Schizosaccharomyces pombe: one gene and its partners. Changing the gene in region 1 together with any one later gene gives a genetic interaction. Each region holds a gene or a part of one and is shown in the gene's direction. Other genes may lie near its edges. The genes, in order: ura4, ure2, ura2 and ura1.

Evidence for each region.
Region 2: of ura4 (region 1) and ure2, a mutation in one rescues a mutant of the other (synthetic rescue), as found in Schizosaccharomyces pombe (one study listed by BioGRID).
Region 3: of ura4 (region 1) and ura2, a mutation in one rescues a mutant of the other (synthetic rescue), as found in Schizosaccharomyces pombe (one study listed by BioGRID).
Region 4: of ura4 (region 1) and ura1, a mutation in one rescues a mutant of the other (synthetic rescue), as found in Schizosaccharomyces pombe (one study listed by BioGRID).

What each region holds. Positions count from the first base shown.
Region 1 is NC_003421.2:113,545-119,721, reverse strand, and holds ura4 (orotidine 5'-phosphate decarboxylase Ura4), read left to right. Parts: upstream 1-3,096; 5' UTR 3,097-3,146; coding exon 3,147-3,941; 3' UTR 3,942-4,133; downstream 4,134-6,177. Other genes in the region: thioredoxin-related chaperone Pmp20, read left to right, coding at 829-1,299; protein new25, read left to right, coding at 1,875-2,144; protein tam14, read right to left, coding at 4,466-4,539, 4,606-4,738, 4,796-4,801.
Region 2 is NC_003424.3:4,984,901-4,993,063, reverse strand, and holds ure2 (nickel-dependent urease Ure2), read left to right. Parts: upstream 1-3,694; 5' UTR 3,695-3,818; coding exon 3,819-6,326; 3' UTR 6,327-6,523; downstream 6,524-8,163. Other genes in the region: lipin, phosphatidate phosphatase Ned1, read right to left, coding at 1-1,358, 1,507-1,788, 1,859-1,918; csn71 (COP9/signalosome complex subunit 7a), read left to right, coding at 2,400-3,017; SPOM_SPAC1952.10C (uncharacterized protein), read left to right, coding at 6,770-7,042, 7,158-7,970.
Region 3 is NC_003424.3:4,425,295-4,431,768, reverse strand, and holds ura2 (dihydroorotase Ura2), read left to right. Parts: upstream 1-2,942; 5' UTR 2,943-2,963; coding exon 2,964-3,080; intron 3,081-3,157; coding exon 3,158-4,054; 3' UTR 4,055-4,466; downstream 4,467-6,474. Other genes in the region: tRNA dihydrouridine synthase Dus3, read right to left, coding at 184-1,996, 2,045-2,085; srp2 (guard protein for 5'-capping of pre-mRNAs Srp2/Npl3), read left to right, coding at 4,804-4,846, 4,891-4,976, 5,033-5,069, 5,110-5,115, 5,168-5,192, 5,242-5,310, 5,501-5,570, 5,659-5,732 and 2 more.
Region 4 is NC_003424.3:738,720-749,342, reverse strand, and holds ura1 (bifunctional carbamoyl-phosphate synthase/aspartate carbamoyltransferase Ura1), read left to right. Parts: upstream 1-3,228; 5' UTR 3,229-3,308; coding exon 3,309-10,043; 3' UTR 10,044-10,176; downstream 10,177-10,623. Other genes in the region: ime4 (mRNA (2'-O-methyladenosine-N(6)-)-methyltransferase), read left to right, coding at 941-2,200; kri1 (krr family protein), read right to left, coding at 10,623-10,623. UniProt on the Schizosaccharomyces pombe protein: Multifunctional protein that encodes the first 2 enzymatic activities of the de novo pyrimidine pathway: carbamoylphosphate synthetase (CPSase; EC 6.3.5.5) and aspartate transcarbamylase (ATCase; EC 2.1.3.2).

The sequences.
Region 1 (6,177 bases):
GGTCTTTGTGTTAACATTTCTAATTCGTAAATGAATTCGAGGACTCAAAAATTTGCGGTTCGTTATACCACGTCGGGGTTTGCGCCATTTATCTGTTCATAGATACCGCAAAGCAAATCGTGAGCAATAAATTTTGAAAAGGTATCTACAGTTCCGAGAGGTGCAGGAAGTGATGAATCGAATTTGATGAAAATTTCTCACCTATTTTAGAGGGGAAACTACAGTGACTTTCTTGAAAGCAATTAAACAACCTTGAAAATGAATCAAACTTTTTTCTTAACGTTACTGCTGATATTGATGTGAAAATTAAACAAGAAAAACATCATCACTTCGTTAAAACCTTAAAAATTCAAAATTTCAAAGGAATAATTAACACCCGGGCATGCATACTACCCGATAACGTAATCTTCTCTATTGCCATTTTCTTTTTCTTTTTAATAAAAATGGCTGTCTAGTAAACACTTTGTCTCAGCGTTTCTTGCCTTTTTACAACAGTCAAATACCGAATATCGCACGAACCATTGAAAACGCAGCTGTGCGCGGTCTCAGTGCCGGTTGGGATTTTCCACCACTCGCAGCCCACAAAGCTCTTCATACAAAGATGAAGAACAGTAAAGAAAAAAAATCTTCCATCCCGACAAATTTGGTGATTTGACGTCACCAAAAGATTCGTTTTTGTAGAAAGGTATATATATTAACGACATGTGCCCATTTGTCTTGATAATACTATCTTTAAACTTGAACGACATTTTTTGAATACGCCGTTACTCCTAAAGATTTTATACCACTTGCTTTAACTTTTACACAAATTTATTACTACTATTAAAAATGGTTGCTGTCGGATCTACTTTGCCTAAAGTTACTCTTTGGGAAAACAAGCCCGAAGAGGTTGTTGAATTCCCTTCTCAAGGCAAATTCATCATTGTCGGTGTTCCCGGCGCTTTCACTCCTCCTTGTTCTTCTCAAGTTCCTGGCTATATTGCAAATGAGAAGCAATTTGCTGCCAAGGGCATCAGCGGAATCTATGTCGTTGCCGTAAATGACGTTTTCGTCACCAAGGCTTGGAAGAAGTCTTTCGACGGTGGTGAGCAAAGTGGTGTTCACTTTGTCGCCGACTGGAACGGAGAGTTTACCAAGGCCTTTGATGCTGGCTTCGACGCTAGCGGTCTTTTGGGCCCTCTTCGCTCCAAGCGTTATGCCGCTGTTGTCGAGAATGGCAAGGTTGTCAAGGTTTTCATTGAGAACGAGGTCACCGATGTTGATATTTCCTCCGCTGACAAGGTCCTTAGCTCTCTTTAAATCTGATGAACTGTTGTACTAATTGTTTTGATGGGAATGTTTTTTTCCTTTAATGAACGAAACTTAGAATCAAAAAGATAAGCTCCTTATTTAAGGGCGTTTGAAATGATGGAGATAAAGCACTCCATATTTGAGTTTTTTTTGTCATTGTGATGATATATGTTTAGATTTATGAAATTTTATACACAATTATCTTAACAACTCATTGTTTGAGTACTAGTACAATTCTTTATAAGAAAGTAGATATGCTTAAAAAATTAATGTCAAGTAAAACGTTGAATCGATTACAATAAGTTTTCGTAACACGATTGAAAATCGGTAGAAGTTGAAATGGATATTCTAAGTGGTGGTATCAAAATAATGACTAGAAAGATGTAAGCACACCTTCAATGTATCATAATCAATGTCAGATGAATTTGGGTAATGAAAAACGTTGGCCACAGTTGGGGGCGTCTTCCTCTAGATGCTCGTCTTCTACAACCGTTCTTTACCTCAACCTTTAAATTTTCAAAATCTCCTTTTTAATAACAGTTTTCATTTTTGGGTTCTTTTTACTCATTTGTATTTCATCTTCGATGAAAATAGCTAATGTCTTAACTTTATCGTTTGCTGCAATTATTGCTGCTTCTTCCCTGGCGGTTGTAGTTAGTCCTATCACAGACAATTCCAGGGAGACAGCTTCATCCTCCATTTCTCAAAGTCCTCCTAGTCAATGGTCAAAAAAACAGTTAATTGAGTATTGTAAAAAAAATTCACTTAAAACTAGCGGATCTCATGAAGAATTGGTTATCCGTGTGCAAAATCATCTTCGTACCGCCTCTAAAAAAGTTGATGCCAGACCGTAATGACAAAACAGCTTGTATAGATTTTAATATGTTTTCGATGCTTACATAATGAGTGAGTGTCATTATTGAGGAATGCCATGTCAGATTTGACACAACTCAGAACTTATTAACTTTTTATGATTGGAACTTTTGTTTTGCCCAAGGAATTTTTAATGGAAGAAGTTGTTTTATAAATGATATTGAATTTATATCCACTCTTTTTAGCGCATTTGCATCTCTACTTTAGGTTCTTCTTTGACTAGATTCTAGGATGCGTATTGGATATACTGGTCTTTGAATCATTGTCGAAAAAAAAATTCATGGTTGTACCCATGAGCAAACTGCTTTTGTGGTTATCCATGTGCTTCTTTTGTTCAGCATCTATCTTCTTAATCGCATGGAAGATTTGATTTAAACCAAAAGAAATATTGTTAAACTTTGACAGAAGCTTTAAATTTTGATTCCATACATTAAATGGATAAAACTCCTGAAGCTTAGCTACAAATCCCACTGGCTATATGTATGCATTTGTGTTAAAAAAGTTTGTATAGATTATTTAATCTACTCAGCATTCTTTCTCTAAATAGGAATTTGTTACTTAATGGAGAAAAAAATGTTTCGATTTACCTAGTGTATTTGTTTGTATACTCACGTTTAATTTCAAACATCCATTCTATCTTGTGTAATTTTTGGCATGGTGAAAAAGATAATCAGCCTTATAATCTTTACAAAAGTAAGAAATTCTGTAAATAAGCCTTAATGCCCTTGCTTTAAATTAAAATGGTTCTTTTTCATGATAATGTTTGCACTTTGTGAATATATTTTAGATAGTTCTGTGAGGTATAATTAAGATGTTTTAGAGACTTATACAATTTTGTCTTTATAAATTCTTAATTGATTTTACCATCCCAGTTTAACTATGCTTCGTCGGCATCTCTGCACATGTCGTGTTTTCTTACCGTATTGTCCTACCAAGAACCTCTTTTTTGCTTGGATCGAAATTAAAGGTTTAAAAGCAAAGTTATGGATGCTAGAGTATTTCAAAGCTATTCAGCTAGAGCTGAGGGGATGAAAAATCCCATTGCCAAGGAATTGTTGGCTTTGATGGAAGAAAAGCAAAGCAACTTGTCAGTCGCGGTCGATTTGACGAAGAAATCCGAAATCTTAGAATTGGTAGATAAAATTGGACCCTATGTCTGTGTTATCAAGACACATATTGACGTTGTCGAGGATTTCGACCAGGATATGGTAGAAAAACTGGTGGCCTTAGGTAAAAAGCATCGTTTTCTTATCTTTGAGGATCGCAAATTCGCAGACATTGGAAATACCGTCAAGCTACAATATGCATCTGGTGTGTACAAAATTGCTTCTTGGGCTCATATCACAAATTGCCATACAGTGCCAGGCGAGGGTATTATACAAGGCCTCAAAGAAGTTGGTTTACCTTTGGGACGTGGTCTCTTGCTTTTGGCTGAAATGTCTTCCAAAGGCTCTTTGGCTACTGGTTCCTACACAGAGAAAACCTTAGAATGGTTTGAGAAGCATACCGATTTTTGCTTTGGCTTTATAGCTGGTCGTCGATTTCCTAACCTTCAAAGCGACTACATAACTATGTCCCCTGGTATCGGCTTGGATGTTAAAGGAGACGGGCTGGGACAGCAATATCGTACTCCTGAAGAAGTGATTGTAAACTGCGGTAGCGATATCATCATTGTTGGTCGTGGAGTCTATGGAGCTGGTCGTAATCCTGTTGTCGAAGCCAAGAGATATAGAGAAGCTGGTTGGAAGGCATATCAGCAAAGACTTTCTCAGCATTAAAAAAAGACTAATGTAAAATTTTTTTGGTTGGTTATTGAAAAAGTCGATGCCTTGTTTGCGTTTGTTTTCCTAGGCGTTTTATGTCAGAAGGCATTTAGAATTAGTATACAAGTACTCTTTGGTAAAATTTTATGTAGCGACTAAAATATTAACTATTATAGATAAACACCTTGGGAATAAAAAGTAATTTGCTATAGTAATTTATTAAACATGCTCCTACAACATTACCACAATCTTTTCTCTTGGATTGACATTGAATAAGAAAAGAGTGAATTTTTTTAGACTTGTAATGATAACTATGTACAAAGCCAATGAAAGATGTATGTAGATGAATGTAAAATACCATGTAGACAAACAAGATAAAACTTGGTTATAAACATTGGTGTTGGAACAGAATAAATTAGATGTCAAAAAGTTTCGTCAATATCACAAGCTTTATTATTCAAAACTAGTATACTTTTTCTCGGAGTATAATACACAATATCGGTGCAAATAGGTTTTAAAATTGCTCCAATCACATGTTCTTAAGAAAAAAACGTCAAAAGAAATCTAAGTATTCCCAAAATAATTCCTCCTGACATGAGAAGAATAAAAAACACTAAGATGCATTGTCAGTATGAAACACAAGCCAAAGTTGCTAACAATAGGATCAATTCTTACTTACTGGCAATGTTACGAGGAATCTTGGTAGGAGGATGTTTGGCAACATAACGTTCTTTTGAATTTGTTTTTACACGACGAGTAATGTTCTTCTGAAACTGTGTGTTTGCACGACGCTGAGAGGGAGTTTGAACCGTCTAAAAGACATAGTTAGGATCCATGATGCACAGATTTCTAAAGATAAAACTACTTACAGGCATGTTGGTTTATTAAAAAAGAAAAACAGGAATGATAAGAGGGAAAGAATACGTGTACAGAGCAAGTGTGGAAAGATATGCTGAAGACGTTTGTATGAACAATGCCAAGCTGTAAAGCTAGACTTTCAAAGTACACACTAATACGTTATACTATATACCAAACAAAAGGGTACGAACTTACAGTGTTTACCAATGTCAGCAATACTACACTACGCTATGATACACTACGTTGTGTATCACTATATGTCACATGTTCTAATTATATATCGTACCATGTATGATACGATATGGAGATTAATCTTAATGATAATCTATTAAGATCTATATTATCTGAATACTATAAATAGAGCTACTGCTGAACCTCGTTCCTCAGTTCAGTTATGAGCTATATTAGTGATAGGTAACATTATAACCCAGTTAATACAATACCTATACTCAGTTGCTACTTATACAACCCGTGTATTGTAATATAATAGATCACAAGGAAAACTCACCGCAGTTCTACGTATCCTTAAATCAGATACCAAACTGCGTAGCTTACAACCAAAAAACCAAACAGTTTCGATAAAAAAAATAGTGATAAGATGCATTTCCATTATAATCCTCTATTTAGTAAACATGTGAATTAATATTTATAACTGTCGAGAAGAGAAATATTCAGTGATCGATAAGCAAAAATGAATATTAGTTATAAAAGGTAATAGGAAAAGGATGGTAAAATATACTGTGCTGACTAATATTGGACACTATCTTAGTTTGCAGAGTAATGGTGATTGGGGTAATTTGATATCTGGCAACTTCTTATTATAACATATTCGTCTTTTGTAAGTGAAATTCCTAATGACAGCGGCAAGATTATGGTGATTTTATTTGTAAAAATGTATCAGTATGAACAGACAAGCCATCTTAACATACTTAAGGGAAACCTGAAACTAACTGGAATTATCTATCGCTGGTATAGAGAAGGGCAAAATAAAAAACCGAGATTGTAAAAATTTTTTTAGATAAATGAAAATTTCCACTGTTAGCCCGTATTTCTCAAAATAAATCTCATATTGGAATAACAAAATTTAAGTACACTGGAGTAAATTTTTTTTGAAGAGTTATATGGTACAAAAATTATGAAGGAATAAATCGGCTTTGGTGGTTTAGTGGTATAATGAATCGTTGCCATCGATTCGACCCGGGTTCGATTCCCGGCCAAAGCATTTAAGTTAATGTTTTTGCTACCGTTTTTGATTGAAGTTTTAAGACGAGAACAAAGTTTTTACATTCAAAGCTTGAGCAATTAATTTTTTTTTAGATTTAATCCATTCATGATCAGATGGATGAGATATGCTCAGCAAATGTGAATAGTCAGTGAGTCACATAAGGTAGTG
Region 2 (8,163 bases), on another chromosome or scaffold:
CGGGTGCTAACCTCGATGGGAGGGAAGAAATGATCGACAAGCTCATTCATGTAAACATAACTACTTCGGTGACCGCTTCGCTGCAACAGTTCAATATGGACTTCGCCAGCAGAATTAATGGTAAAAATCCTAGTTGGTGGAACTCTGACATGGTTATAAGATATTGCGTCTGTAATACGATTGCCAAAGCCGGCGTAAAATGGTGTTCGAGGAACAGGTAAGGCGAAAATATTACAAAGATCACGCAAACAAGCCATTTTAAATACTTCTGGCTTCCTTAAAATTACTTCTCTATGAAGAGCAGCCATAGTGCGATCAGGTGATAAAATAACAGGACCATCGGGTAGAGAGTATCCGTTCTGTTCAATATTCCGGAGATAATGTCGAGTAGAATCGGCTTGGCCTACCGAACGACTAGTTAAATACATAATTTTGTAGCCGTTGTTAGTGATATCGGTATACAATTTGGCAACTCCAGCATGAGTCCAATCCTTGCCGATCAAGGTAAACATATGCCCTAGAGCATCAGATTTGGTAATTGTTCCATCAATGTCCGATATAACGACAGGATCGTTGTGTTTCCAAAAAAAAAGATTAGCAGTGCAAATGGCCTTACCCCCGTTGACTCCAAAGGAAAGCTCATTTTTACCGGGCTTCAAATTTAATGAACGAAGCTGATCAGAGGTTAAACGAAGGGTTTTAGCATATTGAGGATATGACTCGGAAACTGGGCTCAAAGACTGTTCAGATAAAGAGTGTCGACGGCTTAAATCAGAGTCCTCATCCATTAAAGCCGAATCGGACTTTGGAGACGCAGGAGTGCGAGATGGACTTGCAGGAGGACTGTGTCCATAGACCTCCGCAAACTTTTTGGCATCTTCAGAAGCGTGAAACCACAGATTACCTTCTTCATCTTCACGCAGAAGCTTTTCAATCATGGGAAATTCATCCTTGAATGTTTCCCGTGCCAACTCTGCAATGTTTATATTCGCAGCAGAAGATTTATAACCTGTCATGTCAAGCATCACATCACCATTATCCCCAACACGTGTAGGAAGTTCTTTCCCAGAAAGCCTTTTCCCCAATTCCTTTGCCTTTTGTAACAATCGTAAGTCTGCTAGCGTTGTTGCAGGCATCGACGGAGTTCTATCACTTCCAGCCATTTCCAAACAACTCGAATGTCGAAGGTGCTTAAAGCCGGTTGGAGGTGTTTGATCGGCATCGGATTTCGAACGGCGAATTAAATCTCGAGTAAGAGGGAACTCGTAACCGTCCTCCATCAAATAGGTATTCGATTGATCTTTCTCATGATCCTGAGATACTTTATCGAGCTCGAGATCTTGAGGCTCAGTGACATTCTAAAGCAAGACTGTTAGTAATTTTCGTGATTGAGATAAACTAAAAGCCGAAAGTAGTTGTGCAGAATTCTGATACCGTATTCATTAAAATATTGCACATAACTGTTTTCCACCGGACAAGTCAGCCCCAGTTTACTTTTGTACATACAATGGATGGTGTTTGCTTTGGCGAAGTGGTAGGCGACACAATGGGAGATGTTTGAAGTTCTCGTGGAACTGCATTCTCAGTAGCAAATACAAAGAACGCTTCACCTCCATCCCCAAGTTTCATATTAAACCCAGTCAATTGACCATTGACCGAAAATTCAACCTTTTTGTCTGAGGGCAAAAGCAAGCTAAACTTTCCAAAGCGAACATGAAAAGGTGAACATGCTAATGTTTTATCCTCTTGCTCAACCACAATCACGTCAATGGCTCCAGAGAGAGTCGACTATTTACGAACACTGTTAGCATATTTGTTCAATTGTTTAACCCATCATTTCTAATTATTGAGAACTTACTGGATTAATTGCATTCCACGTCTTCGTAACAGAGTCAAACGCTCGTCCTACATATTGCATCGTGCAGCAGCTACGAACAGAGGTAAATGGGATGACTAGCATACCATTATGAGCAAAAGCGTGGGAGGAAGGGCGAGGCAACATCTATGGTCCCTGCGGTCTGTTACGTTATTTGACCTTACAGTCCCATACTATAACAAAAGTAAGCAATGTAAACAAACCACCGAACTTCATAACACTGAACTTGGAAAAAGCGACATTTTTCTTTTCTTTTATATAGATATATAATTTGTTTAGAAAAAATAGAGATTTTTTTATGAAATTTGGATTTTAAGGACCATTCTTGTTTTTGCAGGGTCCCACGCATAAGTCTCAAAGTAAAGATATTAGGAGAACTTTTGCATCCCTTTTTATGTTCCTTTGATTACTGAAGGGCCATTATTTGAAAATACACACGAATACTTTTGATTGTGGCTTCCTTTGCACGTTTTAATAATATTGTGGCACATCATTAACCATCACATTTACAATATCTCTTGTCATGGAAGAAAAGATTTCACAGGCGATTGACGATCCGAATGTATTTTGCTTTCAGGAATTATGGATTGAGTGCCAAGAGGTCCAGAAATCACAGCCTATAGACAGCGCCGTTCTAAGGACACTCGAGATATTCTGCAGAGGAGATATCAGAGATGCCTCATCTGAATGGAATGAATTGCGTTTCAAAAAACTTCGACTTCTTACACTTATCGATTTGGCTAATAGACATGTTGGAAGTTCCGTCTCATTTGAAACCATATTGGTTCATCTACAGTTAGATCGGCTTCCTCCCTCTGATCCTACCTTCACGGTCGAATATTATATCATGCAGGCCATGATGAATCAAATTTTAGTGGGAAAAATTAATGCAAAAACTCAGACTTTACATGTATCTTGGGCACTTGAAAGATTTCTCGATTCCAAAAGGATAGATGAAATGAAGTATTCCCTTGACCGCTTCATCGAAAGGTGCTCGAATATCCTTTTTCAATTAGATGCAGGAACGCCCAGTGTATCAAAGTCTTTTAAACGTGCTAGTCGCATGTCAAGTAGCGACGGAATCGATTACATGGTGTTTGATAAACGCCCTCGTCCGGACGATACTGACTTTGATCTATAATAGCATACAAAAACTTGTTTCCTCTCCTAAAAGCCATCTTATCAATATAAAGGTTGTTTCGAGGATATATGGACGGAACAATATAGTGCAGATGTTAATTACAAAAGTTGAGGATTTGACAAAATTAAATTTCGTATAGACGTTTTCTTTTATCTTACACCTGCCCTATTTTTTCCTTTCATGGTTCATCGAGATGTAAATTCAAAAGTTGGTGGTCTCGTTACTATGTTTTTTTTGTCTCGCATATACATTATGAGCGTTTTATGGTAGATAATGATTTTTTTAATAGATCTAATTAATATTTTAAAAATGGGTTTTGGTCATATAATTTTCATGCGATGATATAATTTGCTGCGTGTAAACACAACATACTATACTCAAATATAGACTGGAATAATAAGTATACTAATTATCGAGAAATGGTCGACATCAGTTCGTGCACAAAAAATAAACAATACTTATTTCCCTTTCCTTTTACTTGAATAAGTGCTCAAGCGAACTGCTACGTGCCAACTTTTGTAAACTTCATAGTTATGCTTTTTTTGACACCAATTCAACTTCATGCTTAGCTTTTCGTTACATTACCTTAGTTTCTTCTTGTTAGTTGCGTACAATCGGCGCACCCTGCCTGTTAGACTAAGATAAGATATATGGTGGTTAGATTAAATGCATCCTTCAGCAACTTACCGATAAACGTCTCAACACGAACTAATTTACAAATCCTTAGTCGGAAAGTGTAAAATTATATCGATAAAGTGAAAGGAAGCGTATCGGAGATATCACTCTAGCGTTGTTCCAACTATGCAACCCAGAGAGCTACACAAATTAACGCTTCACCAGCTGGGATCTTTAGCCCAAAAAAGGCTGTGTAGAGGGGTAAAGCTTAACAAGTTAGAGGCTACTTCACTTATTGCATCTCAAATTCAAGAATATGTTCGCGACGGTAATCATTCCGTAGCAGATTTGATGAGTCTTGGTAAAGATATGCTGGGTAAACGCCATGTTCAGCCCAATGTCGTTCATTTGTTACATGAAATTATGATTGAAGCTACTTTCCCTGATGGAACCTATCTAATTACCATTCATGATCCCATTTGCACTACAGATGGTAATCTCGAACATGCTTTATATGGAAGCTTCCTGCCCACGCCAAGCCAAGAACTGTTCCCTCTGGAAGAGGAAAAGTTATATGCTCCGGAAAATAGCCCTGGTTTTGTTGAAGTCTTGGAGGGCGAGATTGAACTATTGCCTAATTTACCTCGTACTCCCATCGAGGTACGAAACATGGGTGACAGGCCAATTCAAGTTGGATCACACTATCATTTTATTGAAACTAATGAAAAACTATGCTTCGATCGCTCAAAGGCTTATGGAAAGCGCTTGGACATTCCGTCAGGTACTGCTATTCGATTTGAACCTGGCGTAATGAAAATTGTCAATTTAATCCCTATCGGTGGTGCAAAACTAATTCAAGGAGGTAATTCACTTTCGAAGGGTGTCTTCGATGATTCTAGGACTCGGGAAATTGTTGACAATTTGATGAAACAGGGATTCATGCATCAACCTGAATCTCCGTTGAATATGCCATTACAATCTGCACGCCCTTTTGTTGTTCCTCGTAAATTATACGCTGTAATGTATGGTCCAACAACGAATGATAAAATTCGTCTGGGAGATACAAATTTGATTGTGCGCGTGGAAAAGGACTTTACTGAATATGGAAATGAATCTGTTTTCGGCGGCGGAAAGGTTATACGTGATGGTACGGGACAGTCTAGCTCAAAATCAATGGACGAATGCTTGGACACTGTAATTACAAATGCTGTAATCATTGATCATACCGGTATCTACAAGGCTGACATTGGCATCAAAAACGGATATATCGTAGGTATAGGTAAAGCAGGAAACCCGGATACAATGGATAACATTGGAGAAAACATGGTCATTGGATCTTCTACAGATGTTATATCAGCTGAGAATAAAATTGTTACTTATGGTGGTATGGACAGCCACGTTCATTTCATCTGTCCTCAACAAATTGAAGAGGCATTGGCTTCCGGTATAACTACTATGTATGGTGGAGGAACTGGCCCTAGTACGGGAACTAATGCTACTACCTGCACCCCAAATAAAGACTTAATCCGTTCCATGCTTCGTTCTACTGATTCTTATCCCATGAACATTGGTCTCACCGGAAAAGGAAATGATAGCGGTTCAAGTTCTTTGAAGGAGCAAATAGAAGCAGGCTGCAGTGGACTTAAGCTTCACGAAGATTGGGGATCTACTCCCGCAGCAATTGACAGTTGTTTGTCTGTTTGTGATGAGTATGACGTTCAGTGCCTAATTCATACCGACACCCTCAATGAATCCTCTTTTGTAGAAGGTACATTTAAAGCTTTTAAAAATAGGACCATTCACACGTATCACGTTGAAGGAGCCGGTGGTGGGCATGCCCCCGATATTATTTCTTTAGTCCAAAATCCAAATATTCTTCCCTCTAGCACCAATCCCACACGACCATTTACTACAAATACGCTTGATGAGGAACTGGACATGTTAATGGTATGCCATCATCTTTCTAGGAATGTTCCTGAAGACGTTGCATTTGCAGAATCCCGTATTCGTGCTGAAACAATTGCTGCTGAAGATATTTTACAGGATTTGGGAGCTATTAGTATGATTAGTTCAGACTCTCAAGCCATGGGTCGTTGTGGTGAAGTAATTTCAAGAACTTGGAAAACCGCCCATAAAAATAAGCTACAACGAGGAGCACTTCCTGAGGACGAGGGTTCAGGTGTTGATAATTTCCGTGTGAAACGTTATGTATCCAAATACACTATAAACCCTGCAATTACTCATGGAATTTCTCATATTGTTGGTTCTGTGGAGATAGGCAAGTTTGCTGACCTTGTCTTATGGGACTTTGCTGACTTTGGGGCAAGACCCAGTATGGTGCTGAAAGGAGGAATGATTGCATTGGCCTCTATGGGTGATCCAAATGGATCGATTCCAACGGTTTCTCCCCTCATGTCCTGGCAAATGTTTGGTGCACATGACCCCGAGAGGAGCATTGCATTTGTTTCCAAGGCCTCTATAACATCCGGTGTTATTGAAAGCTATGGACTTCATAAGAGAGTTGAAGCCGTAAAATCTACGAGAAACATTGGGAAGAAAGACATGGTTTACAATTCATATATGCCAAAAATGACTGTTGATCCAGAAGCTTACACAGTTACTGCAGATGGTAAAGTTATGGAATGTGAGCCTGTAGACAAACTTCCACTTTCCCAGTCTTATTTTATCTTTTAATTATTTAGATTTTGATTAAGGAAGATAATGCGAGTTTAATTAATATGAAATTTTGTTTGTAAATTTCTTTACAGTTGTTTGAGGCCGAGAAATTCCATATCAAATTTTAAAAGACCAATTACTATTTAAGTTTATAAATATAATATACTCCCGCTTATGAGTTGGTGGATCAACCTTGTTTGCTTACTACCCACGTTTTTGCTTTAAGGTTATATAATTCTTTTCAAACACTAACAAATATTTGTCACAAATTCATATACTATAAACATTCAGAAAAGTTGTATTTGAGCTAGTGTACAGTCGTATTCGTTAAGTCAGAGTGAACTTCGTCGCTTACCAAAGCGGTAAACAACACCTACAATCAACGTTCGATGAGCCTAAGTGACTAAGCTGTGAAGAGATTAAGACTTTCATGAAAGCGTTATTAATAATTTCTTTTAATCATGAAAAAGTTCTTGTCATTCAAGCCTGCTGAAGACTTCCTTCGATCTCTTAAAAAATCATCACAATGGTTTCTGCTGATCATTATTGTCGAGGTTACCATTACATTATCTTTTGAAGGATATGTTTTTCATCATTTTCGTTTAATCACAGTCGAAAAAATTGATGTCTTTATAAATGCTATGGTGCCGTCTACATTTGCACTGTTTTGTATGGCATGTCCCTATTTACTTTATACGGCTGTAGATGCATTATTAAACAAGGATGTAATACAGGTAAGTTAATTGTCTCCAAAAAAAGCTAAAATGGCATTGTTTGTCTTTTGTCGATTCATATGGTTGACGCACTTGAGATCTAAACCAATTCAAGCTAACCGAATTATACGTTTAGATGTCAGCACTTCTTATCTTTCATGTAAGCCTTTTTTGCCTATCTGTTGTCCAATATTTTCAAATATTTTCAAAAGACCCCAGAGCGATTTTCCTCTCCGCTTTATACTTAATAGATCCCATTCGCCTCGTCACATCATTTAACTATCACGAAAGAATAGTTGTTAATTCTCATATGTTGTTATTTTATCTGAAGCCATTTGTAATCGCTCTTCCGGTGCTAATCGGCGTTACTTGTATCTTGCTGAGCTTCTTGGTTTACAAAATGAACAAAGCATTTGGATGGATTATGTATCAGCAGCATGGTCCTGATCTTCGAATGAGAAGAAGGTATCTCGTATACAAAATATTCATGTCCTTAATTAAGTCGGACTATTATTTTTGCCTAACGGCTACTGTTCAATATGCTATCTTCTTTTCTACCATAAGTCGTGTTGGGCTAGCACTAACCATTCTTGTCTTCCCCTGTACAATCGCAACTTTGATGACCTGTAGGTATGCTGTTTACAGAGAAAATCGTGCATTGTTAGGGATTGTACAGTTTATGTTTATGTGTGGACTTGCATATTTTATTTACAACTGTGCTAGGCTATACCTAGGCGTCGACTATGGGGATATTGCTGTTGCAAATATTTGTATGTTGGTGTTTTCAATAGTCACCATAATTTATTTGTTCACAACCATAGTCGTAGGGTTTTATTGCATTTCCAACTTCGGTTATGGTCTTAGGGAATATTTACGCTATATCCATCAAAAGCAAAAAGTCAATGCGGCTCCTGCTGTTCCTAAAGTTCGCATGCCATTGGACGACTGAGAGCTCTCTTTCTTTTGGCATTCTAAAAATGTGTTTTCTTGTTGTTTATCAATGTTCCTCATCTCTCTGTCCTAATCATCGTTTGTTTTCTTACGCCTGTTGAATTTACTGTTTTCCATTTCGTGTTTCCTTGCATTCCTTGGTAGGTGAATATTTTGTGCTCCGATCTCTTGTACTGTGTTTTTCCTTCATT
Region 3 (6,474 bases), on another chromosome or scaffold:
ATTACCAATTTGCCTAGTCATTTGCGCATTTTACGAGACAAACACAGATCACTCGTATATAAGTCACCAGATATTTTATTAATCTACTTAATTCAATCCAGATGATAAGCCAGTATTAAGTATGAAAAGTTGATGATGCATATGAAGAAAGTGAATGCTCGATACACTAAGACCATAAGTTGTTTATCCCTCTGCCTCTTCCACACTATTGCTTTTGTGCTTTGGTGTAAAGGTGAATCGCTCAGGAGTAGGACCTAGGAAGAACTCACTCAATTTAACCCAGTCCGTAACTTTATTACTGGCCAAGAGAGTTTCCATCTCATCTCTCGCGGTATATAGAGGCGGTCTATCATTTAATCTGGGCCTTTGAACTTCGTACAAAGCTATAGGTGTATAACGATGGAAAAAGCTCATAAACTCCAAGAAAAATCTCCTAGTCGTATTGACTCCTTGAGAGTCAGAACCCCAATACTCTAAACCATTATTACAGTATTGTTCCAACATTTCGAGTCGTTGAGTTGATGACTTATCAATAAACTGACGAGCTTCAATTTCTTCAAAAATCCATGGCTTAACGAGTGCACCTCGGGCAATCATCACAGTATCAACACCCTTGTTAACACCATCATACCAATCCTGCCATGAATAACAGTCTCCATTTCCAATCAGCGAAAGAGGTTGGGTACGCAAGGAGTCCTCAGGAAGTTCATCTATTCTCTCATTCATACTTTTTACTTTAGAAGCAATTTCACCAATATAATCCCAATTTGCGTTTTTACTATATCGCTGTTGGCGAGATCTTCCATGTAATGTAGCAGCTGAAGTGTTTGTTTCGTTGAAAATTCTACCAATTAAATTTTTGACAACTGGGTGGTCGTCTTTGTTTCCCATACGAAGTTTTACGGTGACAGGAATTTGGCCAGATACCGCATCCATACCTTGGAGATTACGAAGTAACCTGCCAGGATTCTCGAGAAGAGAAGAACCGGCGCCTTGACGAAATACCAAATCTATAGGGCAACCGCAATTTAAATCGAGAAAATCAACGCCATCACATTGTTCAGCTATTACTTGTGCAGTTTTAGTGGCCTGCCAAAGTTTTCCGGTAGCTAGTTGGACCCCTAATATACCACGACGACCACCTCGCATCATTTCACGCTCATAGTTTAGCCCACGAACAAGAGCCCACTCAGGTTGATGACCTTGCATAAGTGGATAACACATCGCCATTTCGGAGTAAAACGTATCAGCACCCAGAGAGCCACAAAGACGACGAAAAGGTGGATTTCCAACGGTGGTAAGAGGAGCTAGAATCTTTCTGTCTCGCCAGTCAATGAGATTTTTTTCTTGAGGCCGTAAAGTAGGTAAAGCGATGTTTGACCGAGCTTGTGAAGAGATTTCTTTTAAATCGACATTGACCGAGACGGTTTGATTTTTTAACACCCCAGTTTCTTCCAGTGAAACAGATTCTGTCTCTTTTCCTTCGGAAATAGCACTAGTGGCATCTCTATTTTCCTCAGGAATATTGGATACTTTTGAAGAAGGGTCGGGCTTTTCTTCACCTAAAACTGCGGATATAATACTTTCAGCCTTTGATAGATCTAACTGTTTTGTTCTTAGCTTTCTCTGTACCTCTTTTCCAACAGTATTTACGGTAAAAAGCGTAAACTGCCCATCGGGTTTTTTTATAAGCTCGTACTTTCCGTCTGCATTGATAACAACATGGCCCGCTAGCCAGCGACATTTGAAACCAGCTGGGCATACTCCATACCGCTCGAATATAGGGCATTTGTCTCCAATGTCAGGTGCCTTGGTAGCAAGGTAAGCCTCCACATCGTGTGGGAATTTGCAGTTTTCTTTATATGGACACTCATTCCCAATAGATATAGCTGGACAAAGAGCGTTGTTCTCTTTTACGTGAATTTTTTCTCTCCGTTTATTTTGACCCCTCTCTTTACGCTTTCGTTTTTTATTTCCATCTTGTTTCACCAAAAATCTAAGGTATAGTTAGTAATTGACTATTGAAAGCGAGGTTCAAGCATACTCTTCCCGAATAGGAACCGCTCCAGTCTCCAATTCTGCCATTAAGTACCCAAAAATCCGATTTCCCTTGAATTTAGTAGTTTGCTTTATGCAAACTGCATATTTTCTCTAGATTCTGTGCGCGTCTGTGAAAATAAGATACGACGTAGCAGTGCAATATTCAAAATTAACGGTTTACATGATAGATTCGAAAAGCAATCATATTGCCTAATAGATAAAAAAAAACTCTAAAACTGCATAGTAATATTAACGCTATATGCTTTTAGGTACACAGTTATGTTTTGTAAAACGTAACAATGGCTGTAACTGTCTATTGAAATTAGAAATGTATAAATCTTAAAGACGTTTAGAATGCACACTTTTGAGATGCTGCTATTCATTGAGTTGTATATTCTTCAGATGCCAAGATATTACTAAGTTAAATTTAAACTGCTTTGTACTGATGACCATAATTCTTCATATTATGTACCTGTATATTTACACATAAACAGGAAATGCTAGTAGTTACACGTTTCGGATTTCTTTTATACTAAGGTAGATCTAATAATGGAGCTTCAATGATTAAGCAAGTAGCTCTATGCTTCCGAAGAGTCAGGACGGTGGTCTAATAATTAAGCTGTTGGTGAATTCTTATGTTTAGAATTAGGCATCTGAACTTTAATAAAAAGAATTAAGAAATAATATTTGGTTTAACTCCGATCAATTAAATCTTTGAAATTAGTTGGAGAATTATCGGTATAGTAAATTTTTTTGAAGTAATTATATTACCCTCACTAATTTATATTGAAAGAAACATACTAATTTTAAGTAGTATTTTTTTACCAATTGTTAAGATTGTTTATTCTTGGTTTAATTTAGCACTAAGTATAAAGTGCACCTTTCTAGTTACTCAACTTGACAATACCCACTACCTATACAAGATGAGTTTGAAAATACCTGGTTTGGCTGATATGCATGTTCATCTAAGGCAAGATAATATGTTAAAAGCTGTAGTTCCAACGGTCGCAGAGGGTGGAGTCTCTGTTGCGTATGTAATGGTATGTAATAAGTATTGTGCTATTCAAAAAATTTATTTGAAGGTTACAAAGGTTTAACTTTTTAACGCGTATAACAGCCTAATTTAATCCCCCCAATTACTACCGTTGATGCCTGTTTGCAATATAAAAAAGAAATTGAGCAGCTTGACTCCAAGACCACCTATTTAATGAGTCTTTATCTCTCACCGGAAACTACACCTGAGGTTATTTACGAAGCTGCAAAAAAGGGAATTCGAGGAGTTAAATCATATCCGAAAGGAGCTACTACCAATTCTGAAAGTGGTGTTGAAAGCTACGAACCCTTTTATCCTACCTTTGCTGCAATGCAAGAAACAGGTATGATTCTGAACATTCACGGAGAAGTTCCCCCCTCTAAGGATAACACCGTTTTTACGGCTGAGCCCAAGTTTCTTCCTACTTTACTAGACCTTCACCAAAGATTTCCAAAACTCAAGATTGTGCTTGAACATTGCACCACTGCCGACGCTGTTGAGGCAGTAAAAGCATGCGGTGAAAGTGTTGCGGGTACTATAACTGCCCATCATCTTTATCTCACACAAAAAGATTGGCAGGATGATCCTTATTGTTTCTGCAAGCCGGTAGCCAAAACCGAACGAGACCGACGTGCTCTTATTGAAGCTGCTACCAGTAAAAATCCCAAGTTTTTCTTTGGGAGTGATTCTGCACCTCATCCTAGGTCTTCTAAACTGAAGACGCCACCGGCAGCTGGTGTTTTTACCCAACCTTTCGCTGCTTCGTACTTAGCTGAAGTGTTTGATAAAGAGGGTCGTTTAGATGCTTTGAAGGATTTTGCATGTATTTTTGGTAGGAAATTTTATTGTATTCCTTTAGACTTCAAAGAGTCTAATATCGTCTTAAAAAAGGAGTCGTTTCGCGTACCTGAAAGTGTTGCCAATGATTTGGTTCCTTTTCATCCAAACGAAGTTCTTCAATGGCACTGTTCATGGGAGTAATTCAGTACATGTTGATTATGTGTTTTTTTTTCTATCTATTTTTTTGAACTTGTCGGCTTTTATGTTTTGGATTTACGAATTTTTAAATAACATTTGAAGTTAATTGGGTTAATCATTATGCGTCGGCGAATGCAAACATTGCGTGTCATCTGGCAAGAGTCTTTTCAGAATTCCAAAATTTTCGTAAAGTTTTTCATCCAGATAGAGAACTGGTGAATGAGCAGAAACTTGTTTTCATTATCTCAAATTCGGATTATTCATTGAAGTTTACTAAAATACTTTATAGTTATTTATAATTAATATAGAAAAAGAAAATTATACGTATAAGAACCTACGTACATGACTGTAAAGACAACAGTTACTTCTTGAAGTTGCATCTTGACTACTAGATATCCTAGCTCCTTAATCATGATTAATTAAACTTACAGTATCCCGTCGATGAAATTATCATCGCCATCTTGATCCATTAATTAATTATTATCTAACCTTCTTAATCATTTCAATAGACACTCTGAAGTATGGTTGATAGTTACTCAGATTTCATTTATACAATATTAGGAAAAAGTGTGGACCGATGAATGCATAAAATCGTTAGACAAGGTTTGATTAACACCATCTCTTTTAATTTGATTTTATATTTTATTTCATTATCTTATATTTTGTAACTTGGGTTTCGCCGGCCTTCAGCCTCAAGACTGCCGACTGAGGGTCGAACTTCACCCAGCAAGAACCAACTACACCAAAAAAAAATGTCGGAGACTAGATTGTTTGTTGGCCGTATTCCTCCTCAAGGTTTGTAACTAAATAATGTAAATAGTATTTTAACAAAAATTTAGCGACTCGCGAGGATATGATGGATTTTTTTAAAGGTTACGGTCAAATCCTTGATTGCAAGCTGATGAATGGATTTGGCTTTGTTGAGGTAAATAAAACCATTAGCCTTCTTTTTGTAATCCCTATGTGACTAACTTGATGTAGGTTGAAGACGCTCGCGATGCTCGTGATATCGTAAATGGTACGTTCATACCATCTTAAAACTTTTGCTAACAGTTTAGACTTTCGTATGCTTCAAAGGTTTAATATTCGACTTTATTTACTAATCTTATAAAAAAGAGGGCAAAGAGTTTATGGGCAGCCGGTAAGTCAATACATTATGAATTTAGATTAAAATATGCTAATGTTCGAAGTATTGTTGTAGAACCTGCTCGCGGTGAAAGAAGAAGAAGAGAGAACTTTAGAGAAAGTGCTGCTTCTAAGTACGTTGTTACGTTTCCATTAATATGTGATTAGTGGGCGATTTGGCATTGCACGCGATTGCTGGTTCTAACGATTTTGTTCACTTCACATGTGAATCAGCTCTGAGTAGTGACTATATACGGTGTTATCGCTTGCAAAATCGCATTGTCCTATAAAAATTACGGCAATATTTTTATACTAACGTATCAGATACCCCCGTCCCCGTCGCACCGGTTTCCGTTTGATTGTGGAAAATCTCTCAGAAGATGTCAGTTGGCAGGTAAGACAATTTTATACATTTAATGACCTTTGCGTCAATGCATGATTTTTTTCATATATCTATATTTCAGTGTTAACACTTTTCATAGGACCTGAAGGATGTAATGCGTAAAGCTGGTGAACCCACTTTCACAGATGCTCACCGTGAAAACCCTGGTGCTGGGTAAGTTTCTACTTTGATCATTTTTTCACCTAACTTTAATGCAGTGTTGTTGAATTTTCTACTGAAGAGGATATGAGAAACGCTTTGACGAGCCTTAATGGTGAAGTCATTAAAGGCCAAGCAGTTACTTTACGCGAAGACCCTGTAAGCATCTAATCTTTTTTAAAGATCCTTGCGTAAATTTTCTAACGATTAGCAGGATGCCGCTAATGAGCCCCTTCCCGAAGTACCCTCCCGCTTCCGTTCACGTTCTCCACCTGCTCGCCGTCGTTATCGTGATGATTATCGTAGAGGAGGCGATTACCGTCGTGACGCTTATCGTCCCGGCAGAGATGATGAACGTCGTTATGCTCCTCGTGGTGAATACAGGCGTAATAATCGTGATGAATACCGTCGTGGTGGTCGCGATGAGTATAGACGTAATTCCAGAAGTGATTATCGTCGTCCTCATGATGATGAGTATCGTCGTCCTAGAGGTGATGAATATCGCCCTGGACGAGACGAATACCGTCGTTCTCGTGATGATGGACGCCCTTCCCATGATGATGAGTATCGACGTGACGCTTATAGCCGTAGTCCTTCTCCTAGACGTGATAGAGAAGAGAATCGCTCCCCTGCCTATGAAGGTTCCAAATCCTATTCAGCTGCTCCTGAAGCATCAATGGAGTCATCTGCTCCCACTGAATCATATGACAAACCTGCTGCTTCGGAAGAACAACAGCCTTTGCAAAACCATTCTGAT
Region 4 (10,623 bases), on another chromosome or scaffold:
AGATCGAATTGAACATAAAAACGAAGCGTATTTATATACTGATTGCAGGTCCTTTGCTTGAATCCTATCAATAAATTGTATGATGCTATCTCGTCAAAAAAGTAATGGCTTTATAATAGTGTGGTTATCATTTTGTGAAAACATTACGCCATTAACTGCTTATTTATTTACGCTCCGATTTTTGCAGATTCCTATCCTAACGATCTTTATGATGCTTGTTATTAAATATATTTAGTCATCACCAGCAATTGCTTACTTGATAGTGGAGACGTTAAGGCGAGATAAGGTAGGTGTGTATTTGTAAGACTAAGCATATCGTTTTCCTTATGTAATTAATATTTCGTACTGGCAGCATATAAATTTGTTACCATTTTGAAGGCTGACTAACCACAAAACATTGGTTTTTGCAAGCTATGAATGCTTTGATTACCTAATTCGTTCAATAGAAAAATTTGTACTTCTTAATAGCTTGGATTTTTTATATCGTTCAATGTTATTGTGGGGAGTATCGAAAATCGCACACCAATGTTTCCGTATTAGTTTGAAAGAACTACGTTAACTAGATTCGGTTTTCGTAAATTAGTTTTAAAAAATATCATTAAATGGAAGTTTTTAAAATATCAATAGAGATTTGTTGTTTCAATATTTGGTATTAAGCATAATAAGTTTAACTGCACTCCAGTTGATGGGTACGACGAAACCTATCGAGTAACTTTCGATAAAGTATACACGTTTGTCACGCGTCGAGAGCGGTATTTTCAATTATTCTTATCCGACTGAATTTAATTAACTCAACTCGCTACTTCTTATTTTGAGTTGAGCGCACATAAGCTATTTTTTGAGCTACTAATTTAATAGATTGCTATAACGAAATTCAGCGGTGTCCTTGTGCATTTCATTTATCACGATTGTTTGAGGTTCGGTATTCGTGTAATTTTTAATGCCATGTATATTATACATGGACGACACTAGTTGTCTCATTGACTTGCCAACATCTCTGCAATTTAATAAACATATTTTGCCCACTCGAACGAAGCCTGTCGTGAAGCCATATTTACTCCCCGAAAAATCAACTTCGGATTATGAAAACAGTGGCAAAGGCACTGTAGGGCAAGTACTGCAAAGCCTTCAGCGAGTTCGTCGTGCTTTACAGTTGCGCAGTTTGGATGACAATCAATCAACCGATAAATCACACCATGTTCAATTTCAAGATATCGTATACAGGTCAAATACTAGTGCATCAGAAATCCATTTTCAAGCTGAAAATGCTCCTTTAGTGCAATGGTACTCAGACATTTTCAAAGTACTAGTTAAAGCACCGGTTATACAGTTTGAGGATCAGTGCTTGCAATGGTTGAAAATGTTGAATACTATTCCACCGTCATATTCATTTATAACTATAAAGTCTAAAGATACAGTTGAACTTGGATTGGAAGAGATTTATCAACAATGTGTCCAAAATGATGGAGCGTCCGCTATAAAATTAAAGCTGAAGGGATCAAAGGTTATTACTGAATCGTCTGAAACTAATTGTAGGGATTCAATTTACTACATCCCTGCTCGTTCCTCTTTTATTATGGGTGACGTGGAGAAAACTGCGCAAATCCTTTTAGAAGCAATTGATGGCCATCTAGAAAAACCCAAATGCATAATTATAGACCCTCCATGGCCGAATAAATCTGTAGCTAGGAGCTCTGTCTATAAGGTGAACAGGAACCTTGGATATTTAAAAGCATTACCAATTCAGGAATCGTTAAGCAAAACCGGCGTCGTGGCAGTTTGGTGCACAAATAAGGAAAAGTATGTAAATTTTGTTAAAAAAGTGCTTTTTAAAAAATGGAATTTAACGCTTGTCTCTACATGGACATGGCTTAAAATAACGGCATTTGGCGAACCATTATTTGATGTTTATTCAAACATGCGCAAACCTTGGGAACAGCTTTTGATTGGAGTTACTTCAGAATATACATCTGTATATAGTGATAAAATCCCTCCAACGTTTACAATAATTGGTATTCCAGATTATCATTCCAGGAAACCATCATTAAAACCTTTCATTTCACGTTGGTTTAATTGTTCGGCAAATGAATCGCTTCCTGTTTTAGAAATTTTTGGCCGTAGTCTCACACCTAATTGGATTACATGGGGGAGGGAACCTTTGTTGTTTATGCATGAATTATACTGGTCATCAGACAATTGATGGAAAATGCTACATTGTTCGTATTGTGGTAAATTTTTGACCATGGTTTAAATGTTGTTTTATTTTTTCTTCCATTCTCTGTTTAAGATATCTCAGATCACGAATTACTACTGAAAGACGTAGAATAAATCAATACGTTTTAACGTTACCTGATGGTTTATGAGTAAACTACTTTATGCTATAAGAGCTCAAACTCATTCACTGTAGTATAACTTTATTAGGAAAAGCTCACTACTAATGTTCCTAAAATACTAAACTACCAAAGATACAATTTTTTTATAAAAAACCACTTTCGACTTTTTATTGCTAAAAGCTCAAACGGCGTGATGAGAAAAAAACTATTGCGAAGGTTTTACTTTTAAATTTTCTTAATATACCATAGGTCGACATCGTTTTGTTTTTCTACTGATATTCTTATGATGAGCTGTTGATATGTTTACTGGCTTTACCAAGCTTTCATTGACTAATGTATTAAGCACAAATCGGCTGCTATCCCTTCATTACCGATATCCTAAGTACTGTGTTATGTAGATACCGATGCTGAAAAATTACGTAAACCAAAATAACAATATTTAATCATAGATGGCGTTGTGTTTTTAAAACAGGTTGCGTCATACATGAAACTTTTATATTTGCTCAGAGAAAAAAAGAAAATATTCTCCTTTACAAGTTAGTTGGTAAGCAATATAAATCTTTAATTTTGTATCAAGTAGACCGCTCATAAAATGCCTTGGTTCGAAGACCGAAAAGCGGAAGTGAAATGTCATACCCTAAACATACACCGTAGCACAGTGTACCGCACTACTGGTTAATCCACGACAAGCAAAAAATTTTCCAACAACTCTTTCGGATTTGCCAGTTCTCGTCCTATAGGATTGTTAGAAACTGCCTAACACAGAAACTGAATTCTAAAAATTAGAATAGATTTATTTAATTTTTTTTATTTATCTGTAAAAATTTTAGTGTACATTGTGCTTTGACGAAAGCGTAAGTATTTTTTTTTCTGCTCAGGTTTTAAATTCTTTCTTGAGACCAACCACTCCTTAGAAGCAATATCTGGGAATCGCTAGTCTTAAGCCTCAAATCTGTGGAATTGTTGATATAAGCGATGTCCGGATTGCTACCTTCATTGTCTTCATCATTTCCACTCGTCCAGAGTGAAGCTCTGGGGATGCCAAGGACTCATGGTCCTAAACCATCTGAAAATGATCCTAAAGAGCCCACCTGCTCTCCATCTCCTGCCTTCTACTCTGTGAATGGCGAGATGAAAGATTATAAGCTAATGGCCTTGGAATTGGAAGATAAAAGTGTTTTACAAGGTTATTCATTCGGAGCTGATCACTCTGTCTCCGGTGAATTAGTTTTTCAGACTGGTATGGTCGGTTATCCTGAGTCTTTGACCGACCCTTCTTATCGTGGTCAGATTTTGGTCTTTACATTTCCCACAGTGGGTAATTATGGTGTGCCCGATCGTCGTATTCTAGACGAGATATCTGGCTTACCCAAGTATTTCGAATCCAATCAAATTCATGTTGCTGCTATTATTATTTCATCTTATTCTCAAAATTATTCTCATTTTCTTGCTCATTCTTCTTTAGGAGAATGGCTTAAGGAACAGGGCATTCCTGGTATTTTTGGTATTGATACCCGTGCTCTTACTAAAAAAATTCGCGACCAAGGTTCTATGTTAGGTCGTTTACTTATTCAAAAAGACGAATCCCCCATCAATCCTTCTTCAATTACTGGTCTCGGAAAAGACTGGAGTACTGCTTTTGAAGATATACCATGGAAAAATCCTAATACTGAAAATTTAACGTCTCAAGTTTCCATTAAAGAACCCAAACTTTATGAACCCCATCCTACTACAGCTATCAAAAAAGCAGATGGAAAAATCATCCGTATCCTTGTTATTGATGTTGGTATGAAATATAACCAAATTCGTTGTTTTTTGAATCGTGGTGTTGAATTATTGGTTGTTCCTTGGGATTATGATTTTACCAAAGAGACTTATGATGGTCTATTTATTAGCAATGGACCTGGTGATCCTTCCCTCATGGACTTGGTTGTTGATCGGGTAAAACGGGTGCTTGAGTCAAAGACTGTCCCCGTTTTCGGTATTTGTTTTGGACATCAAATTATGGCTCGAGCTGCCGGCGCCAGTACCACCAAAATGAAATTTGGTAACCGTGGCCACAATATCCCTTGCACTTGCATGATCTCGGGTAGATGTTACATTACTTCCCAAAATCATGGTTATGCGGTTGATGCGTCTAGTTTATCAAATGGCTGGAAAGAACTTTTTGTCAATGCTAACGATGGTTCAAATGAAGGTATCTATAATACTGAGTATCCATTTTTCTCTGTGCAATTTCACCCAGAGTCTACTCCTGGTCCCCGCGATACTGAATTTCTCTTTGATGTATTCATTGACGTTGTCAAGCGTTCAGCTGATGCAAAGTCTTTGCAGCCATTCAAGCTTCCTGGAGGAACAATTGAAGAAAACAGATCCCGTCATCCACTTGTGGATGCTAAGCGTGTTCTGATTTTGGGTAGTGGAGGATTGAGTATTGGTCAAGCTGGTGAGTTTGATTATTCTGGTAGTCAAGCTATTAAGGCTCTTCGTGAAGAAGGAATTTACACCATTTTGATTAATCCCAACATTGCCACTATTCAGACATCTAAGGGTCTTGCTGATAAAGTGTACTTCTTACCTGTTAATGCTGACTTTGTTCGTAAGGTGATCAAACAAGAGCGCCCCGATTCGATATATGTTACCTTTGGTGGTCAAACAGCCCTGAATGTTGGTATTGAGCTGAAAGATGAGTTCGAACAACTCGGCGTTAAAGTTTTAGGTACGCCTATTGATACCATTATTACCACTGAGGACCGTGAACTTTTTGCTCGTGCAATGGATGAAATTAACGAGAAATGTGCAAAATCAGCTAGTGCTTCATCTATTGAAGAAGCTATAAAAGTATCGAAGGATATTTCTTTTCCAGTTATTGTCCGTGCTGCTTATGCGCTTGGTGGACTTGGTTCAGGTTTTGCTGATAACGAGGCGGAACTCATTGATTTATGTACGCTTGCTTTTGCTACCAGCCCTCAAGTCTTGATTGAACGCAGTATGAAGGGATGGAAAGAAATTGAGTACGAAGTTGTTCGCGATGCTTTTGATAACTGCATTACCGTCTGTAACATGGAAAACTTTGATCCTCTCGGTATTCACACTGGTGACTCTATTGTTGTTGCTCCATCTCAAACTTTAACCGATGAAGATTACAACATGCTTCGTACGACAGCTGTTAATGTTATTCGTCACCTCGGTGTGGTGGGTGAATGCAATATTCAGTATGCTTTGAACCCTTTTACAAAAGAGTATTGCATCATTGAAGTTAATGCTCGTTTGTCTCGTTCATCTGCTTTAGCGTCAAAGGCTACCGGTTATCCTCTAGCTTTCACAGCAGCAAAACTAGGTCTTAACATTCCACTTAACGAAGTCAAAAACTCAGTGACAAAGGTTACGTGCGCATGCTTTGAACCAAGTCTTGATTATGTTGTCGTGAAGATTCCCCGTTGGGACTTGAAGAAGTTTACTCGCGTTAGCACTCAGCTGAGCTCAGCAATGAAGTCAGTTGGTGAAGTGATGAGTATTGGACGTACATTTGAGGAAGCAATCCAAAAGGCCATCAGGGCTATCGATTATAGCAATACTGGTTTCAACGTTAAGGATGCTTTAATGTCTATAGATACGGAATTGCAAACACCTTCGGACCAACGTCTGTTTGCTATTGCCAACGCTATGGCTTCTGGTTATTCAGTGGACCGTATTTGGGAGCTTACTCGTATCGATAAGTGGTTTCTTGAAAAGCTTATGGGATTAATTCGTACATCCCAATTGATTTCCAAGCATGATATATCTAGTCTTCCTATTTCTCTTCTAAAGACTGCCAAGCAATTAGGATTTGCGGACGTCCAAATTGCTGCTTTTATGAATTCTACTGAATTAGCCGTTAGACGTATCCGTACTGAAGCTGGTATCAGACCATTTGTAAAACAAATTGATACAGTGGCTGCGGAGTTCCCAGCTTTCACCAACTACCTTTATACCACTTATAATGCTGTAGAGCATGACATCCATTTCAATGATAAGGGTGTGATGGTTCTTGGCTCAGGTGTATATCGAATTGGCTCATCAGTTGAGTTTGACTGGTGCGCAGTTCGCGCAGTTCGTACGCTTCGTGATCGGGGAGTTAAAACTATTATGGTTAATTATAACCCAGAAACTGTTTCTACTGATTATGATGAAGCCGATAGATTGTATTTCGAAAATATCGGTCTTGAAACTGTCTTGGATATTTACGAGCAAGAATCATCTTCTGGTATCATTATAGCTATGGGTGGTCAAACCGCTAATAACATAGCCTTGCCATTACATCGTGAAAATGTTAAAATTCTCGGTACTTCTCCTGAAATGATTGATGGCGCCGAGAATAGATTTAAATTCTCTAGAATGCTGGATGACATAGGTGTTGATCAGCCTAAGTGGAAGGAATTAACTAGTTTCGACGAGGCCGATAAATTTTGCGATACAGTTGGTTATCCTGTGTTAGTTCGTCCTTCTTATGTTCTTTCTGGTGCCGCAATGAATACAGTCTATTCTCAGTCAGACCTGCATAGCTATTTGCAACAAGCTGTTGCAATTAACAAAGATCATCCTGTTGTTATTTCTAAATATATTGAAAATGCTAAGGAAATCGAATTAGATGCTGTTGCTCGTGAAGGAAAGATGGTTATGCACGTCATTTCCGAACATGTAGAAAACGCTGGTGTGCACTCTGGTGACGCTACTTTGGTTTTACCACCTCAAGATTTGGCTCCAACGACTATAGAAAGAATTGTTGACGCCGCTGCTAAGATTGGAGAAGCTTTGAATATTACTGGTCCTTATAACATTCAATTTATTGCGAAGGACAACGAAATTAAAGTAATTGAATGCAATGTTCGTGCATCGCGTTCATTCCCTTTTGTTTCTAAGGTTATAGGTGTTGATATGATTTCAATGGCGACAGATGTCATTATGGGTAATCCTATTCAACCCTACCCCGATGTTGATCTTCCTCGCGATTACGTTGCTGTCAAAGTACCTCAATTCAGTTTCAGCAGACTGTCCGGTGCTGACCCCGTCCTTGGTGTCGAAATGGCGTCTACTGGTGAAGTTGCTTGTTTTGGTCACAATAAATTTGAAGCCTATCTTAAAGCTATGATTTCCACCGGCTTTAGACTCCCGAAAAAGAATATTCTTATATCTATTGGTTCATATAAAGAAAAGGCGGAGCTTTTACCTTACGTCAAGAAGTTGTATGAAAACAATTACAACATTTTCGCAACAGCCGGTACCTCAGACTACTTTATGGAAAGTGGTGTTCCTTGCAAGTACCTTGCAGATCTTCCTGCTGAAGAAGCAAATAATGAGTATTCACTTTCCGCTCATTTAGCCAACAACATGATTGACATGTATATCAATTTGCCCTCCAACAATCGTTATCGTCGTCCTGCTAATTATATTAGCAGTGGTTATAAAAGTCGTCGTCTTGCCATTGATTATTCAGTCCCTTTGGTTACAAATGTCAAATGTGCAAAGCTTATGATTGAGGCAATTTGCAGAAACTTGGATTTCAGCTTGAGTACAGTAGATTTCCAGAGCAGTTTCCAAACTGCTAATCTACCAGGTTTGATTAACATATCTGCTTTCCTTCCTGAATTTACTTCTGAAGCCGTTTCTGACTATACAAAAGAATGTATTGCATCTGGTTTTACTATGGCTCGATTTTTACCATTTAGTACGTCTTCTACTTTAGCAGACAAGGATTCGTTGTCTGCTGTTAAAAAGTTAGCTTTAGACCATGCTCATTGCGATTACAACTTTTCAGTCATTGCCTCCTCAACTAATGAAGTTACTATCTCTGAACTCACATCTGAATCTGGCTGTTTGTTTTTCCATTTTGAGAAAGACGATTCTGGTATCGATCATGTTACTGCAGTTGCCTCTCATTTTAACGTATGGCCTGATACGCAGACTGTGATGACAGATGCCAAATCGACAACTTTAGCTTCGTTATTGTTATTGGCAAGTCTTCATAACCGTAGGATTCATATTACAAATGTATCTTCTAAGGACGATTTGAATTTGATTGTACTTGCTAAGCAAAGAAGTCTTCCTGTCACATTTGATGTTTCAGTTTATAGTCTTTTCTTGAACCAAAATGATTATCCCGGAGCGACATTTTTACCTACTGCTGATGATCAGGTTGAGATATGGAATAAGCTCTCATACATTGATTGTTTTTCTATTGGTAGTATTCCTTCTCGTCTTGCTAAGTTCGTGGGTAATACGGCTTTTACTGGCTTTGGAGTTCGCGAGGCAATTCCACTTTTGTTAACAGCTGTTAATGAAGGTAGACTTACTTTAAAGGATGTTGTTGATCGCTTCTATTCGAACCCTAAAGCCATTTTCCGTTTGCATGATCAAGACGATTCTGGCGTTCAATTGGAAGTTGATCGTTCTGTTAGCTGGTCTTCCAAAGACTGGACCCCTTTCAATGGCAAGAAACTTTATGGTAGCATCCAATCTGTTCAGTTTGACGGTCATGATGTATTCTTTGATGGTGAACTGAATTTCGAACATACTTATGGTCGTGACTATTCTTCGGCTAGTTTGGCTGACAAATCTAAGGCAACTAGAAAGGTTAGTGCGTTGATGAGTCCTGGTCTTCCCCATGCTGCCCCTTCTCTTGCCGAAGCATTCGGTCAAGCACCAGAGAACAAAGCGCATCCTGATATTAGCTTGAACATGACTCCTAATTTCAAGCCTTCTCATGAACTGGTACAATTGATCAACTCTTCGCCCTTCTATCGCAAGCATATCATTTCGGTGCACCAAGTTACTCGTTCTGATTTGCATGTACTATTTGCTATTGCTCATCAAATGAGAATCATAGTTGAAAGACAAGGTGTGATTGACTTGTGCTATGGAAAACTTCTTTGTACTATGTTCTTTGAACCATCAACTCGTACTTCATCGTCTTTTGATGCTGCAATGCAACGTTTAGGAGGAAAAGTAGTCGCTGTTACAGCTAGTGCTTCTAGTGTCAATAAAGGTGAGAGCTTGGCTGATACCATTCGTACACTTGGATGTTATGGTGATGCTATTGTCTTGCGCCATCCTTCAATTGAAAGCGCACGCATTGCTGCTAACTTTTCTCCCGTTCCTATCATCAATGGTGGTAATGGCTCGAAGGAGCATCCCACACAAGCTTTCTTGGATCTTTATACCATTCGTGAAGAGTTAGGTAGTGTCAATGGACTTACAATTACGTTTATTGGTGATCTTAAATACGGACGTACCGTTCATTCATTAGCTCGTTTGCTTGCGTTTTGGCATGTCGAATTGCATCTTGTATCACCTGAACAATTGGCACTTCCTGACGACGTGAAAGACGATATTCGTGCGAATGGATTGAATTTCATTGAGCACCGTGAGTTGACTAAAGAAGTTGTTGCACAATCTGATGTACTTTACTGTACCAGAGTACAGAAAGAACGTTTTGCTAGTGTTGATGAATATGAGAAATTAAAGGATTCTTTTATCGTTGACAACAGTGTTCTAGCCTCTGCCAAATCCCACTGTATCGTTATGCATCCTTTGCCTCGTAATCGTGAAATCAGTGAAGAGGTTGATTTTGATCAAAGACGTGCTGCTTACTTCCGACAAATGCGTTATGGTCTCTATATTCGTATGGCTTTACTCGCTTGTGTTATGGGTGCTACTGAAGTAGCAAATTAAAAATGGCTTTCTTACGTTTGTTATCTTATTGGTAATTGGATTTTTTATATTTTGGTGTGTTGATTTATGTTTTAAAAGTTTTGGTTTTTATTCTTAAGTTCTAGAATAGAATGAAAGGTTGATATACTTATAATTTATTTTCCACTGTATAATTAAAGTCGTGTAATTATTTTTCAGCACGTTTTTTATTTAAACACTTAAGATACTCAGTGATGTGCTGAATTAGGTATCACGGCTATTTTATTTATTTATTTATTTTAGCAGCCGTACTTATAAAAGTACGTACGTTTTTATGTTACTTATCTAATTTATTTTAATTTATCTATTTTTATTTATTTATATGTTTCCTTCATTTGTAGTTGGTTTGTTTCAATTTTTGTATACGAAAGTACGTTAGCACTATATTCTGTACGCTGGTTATAGTTGTGGTAGGATTCAGCCCATTCTTTTATAAAGTTTAACCAAGTTCCTAACGTAAACATGTAAATATAAAGATACAAATTTAAGTCTATAAATATCTAAAAATCAAACAAATGATGATATTATTATTTTACTAAAAAAACCTAAATGAAATTCCATT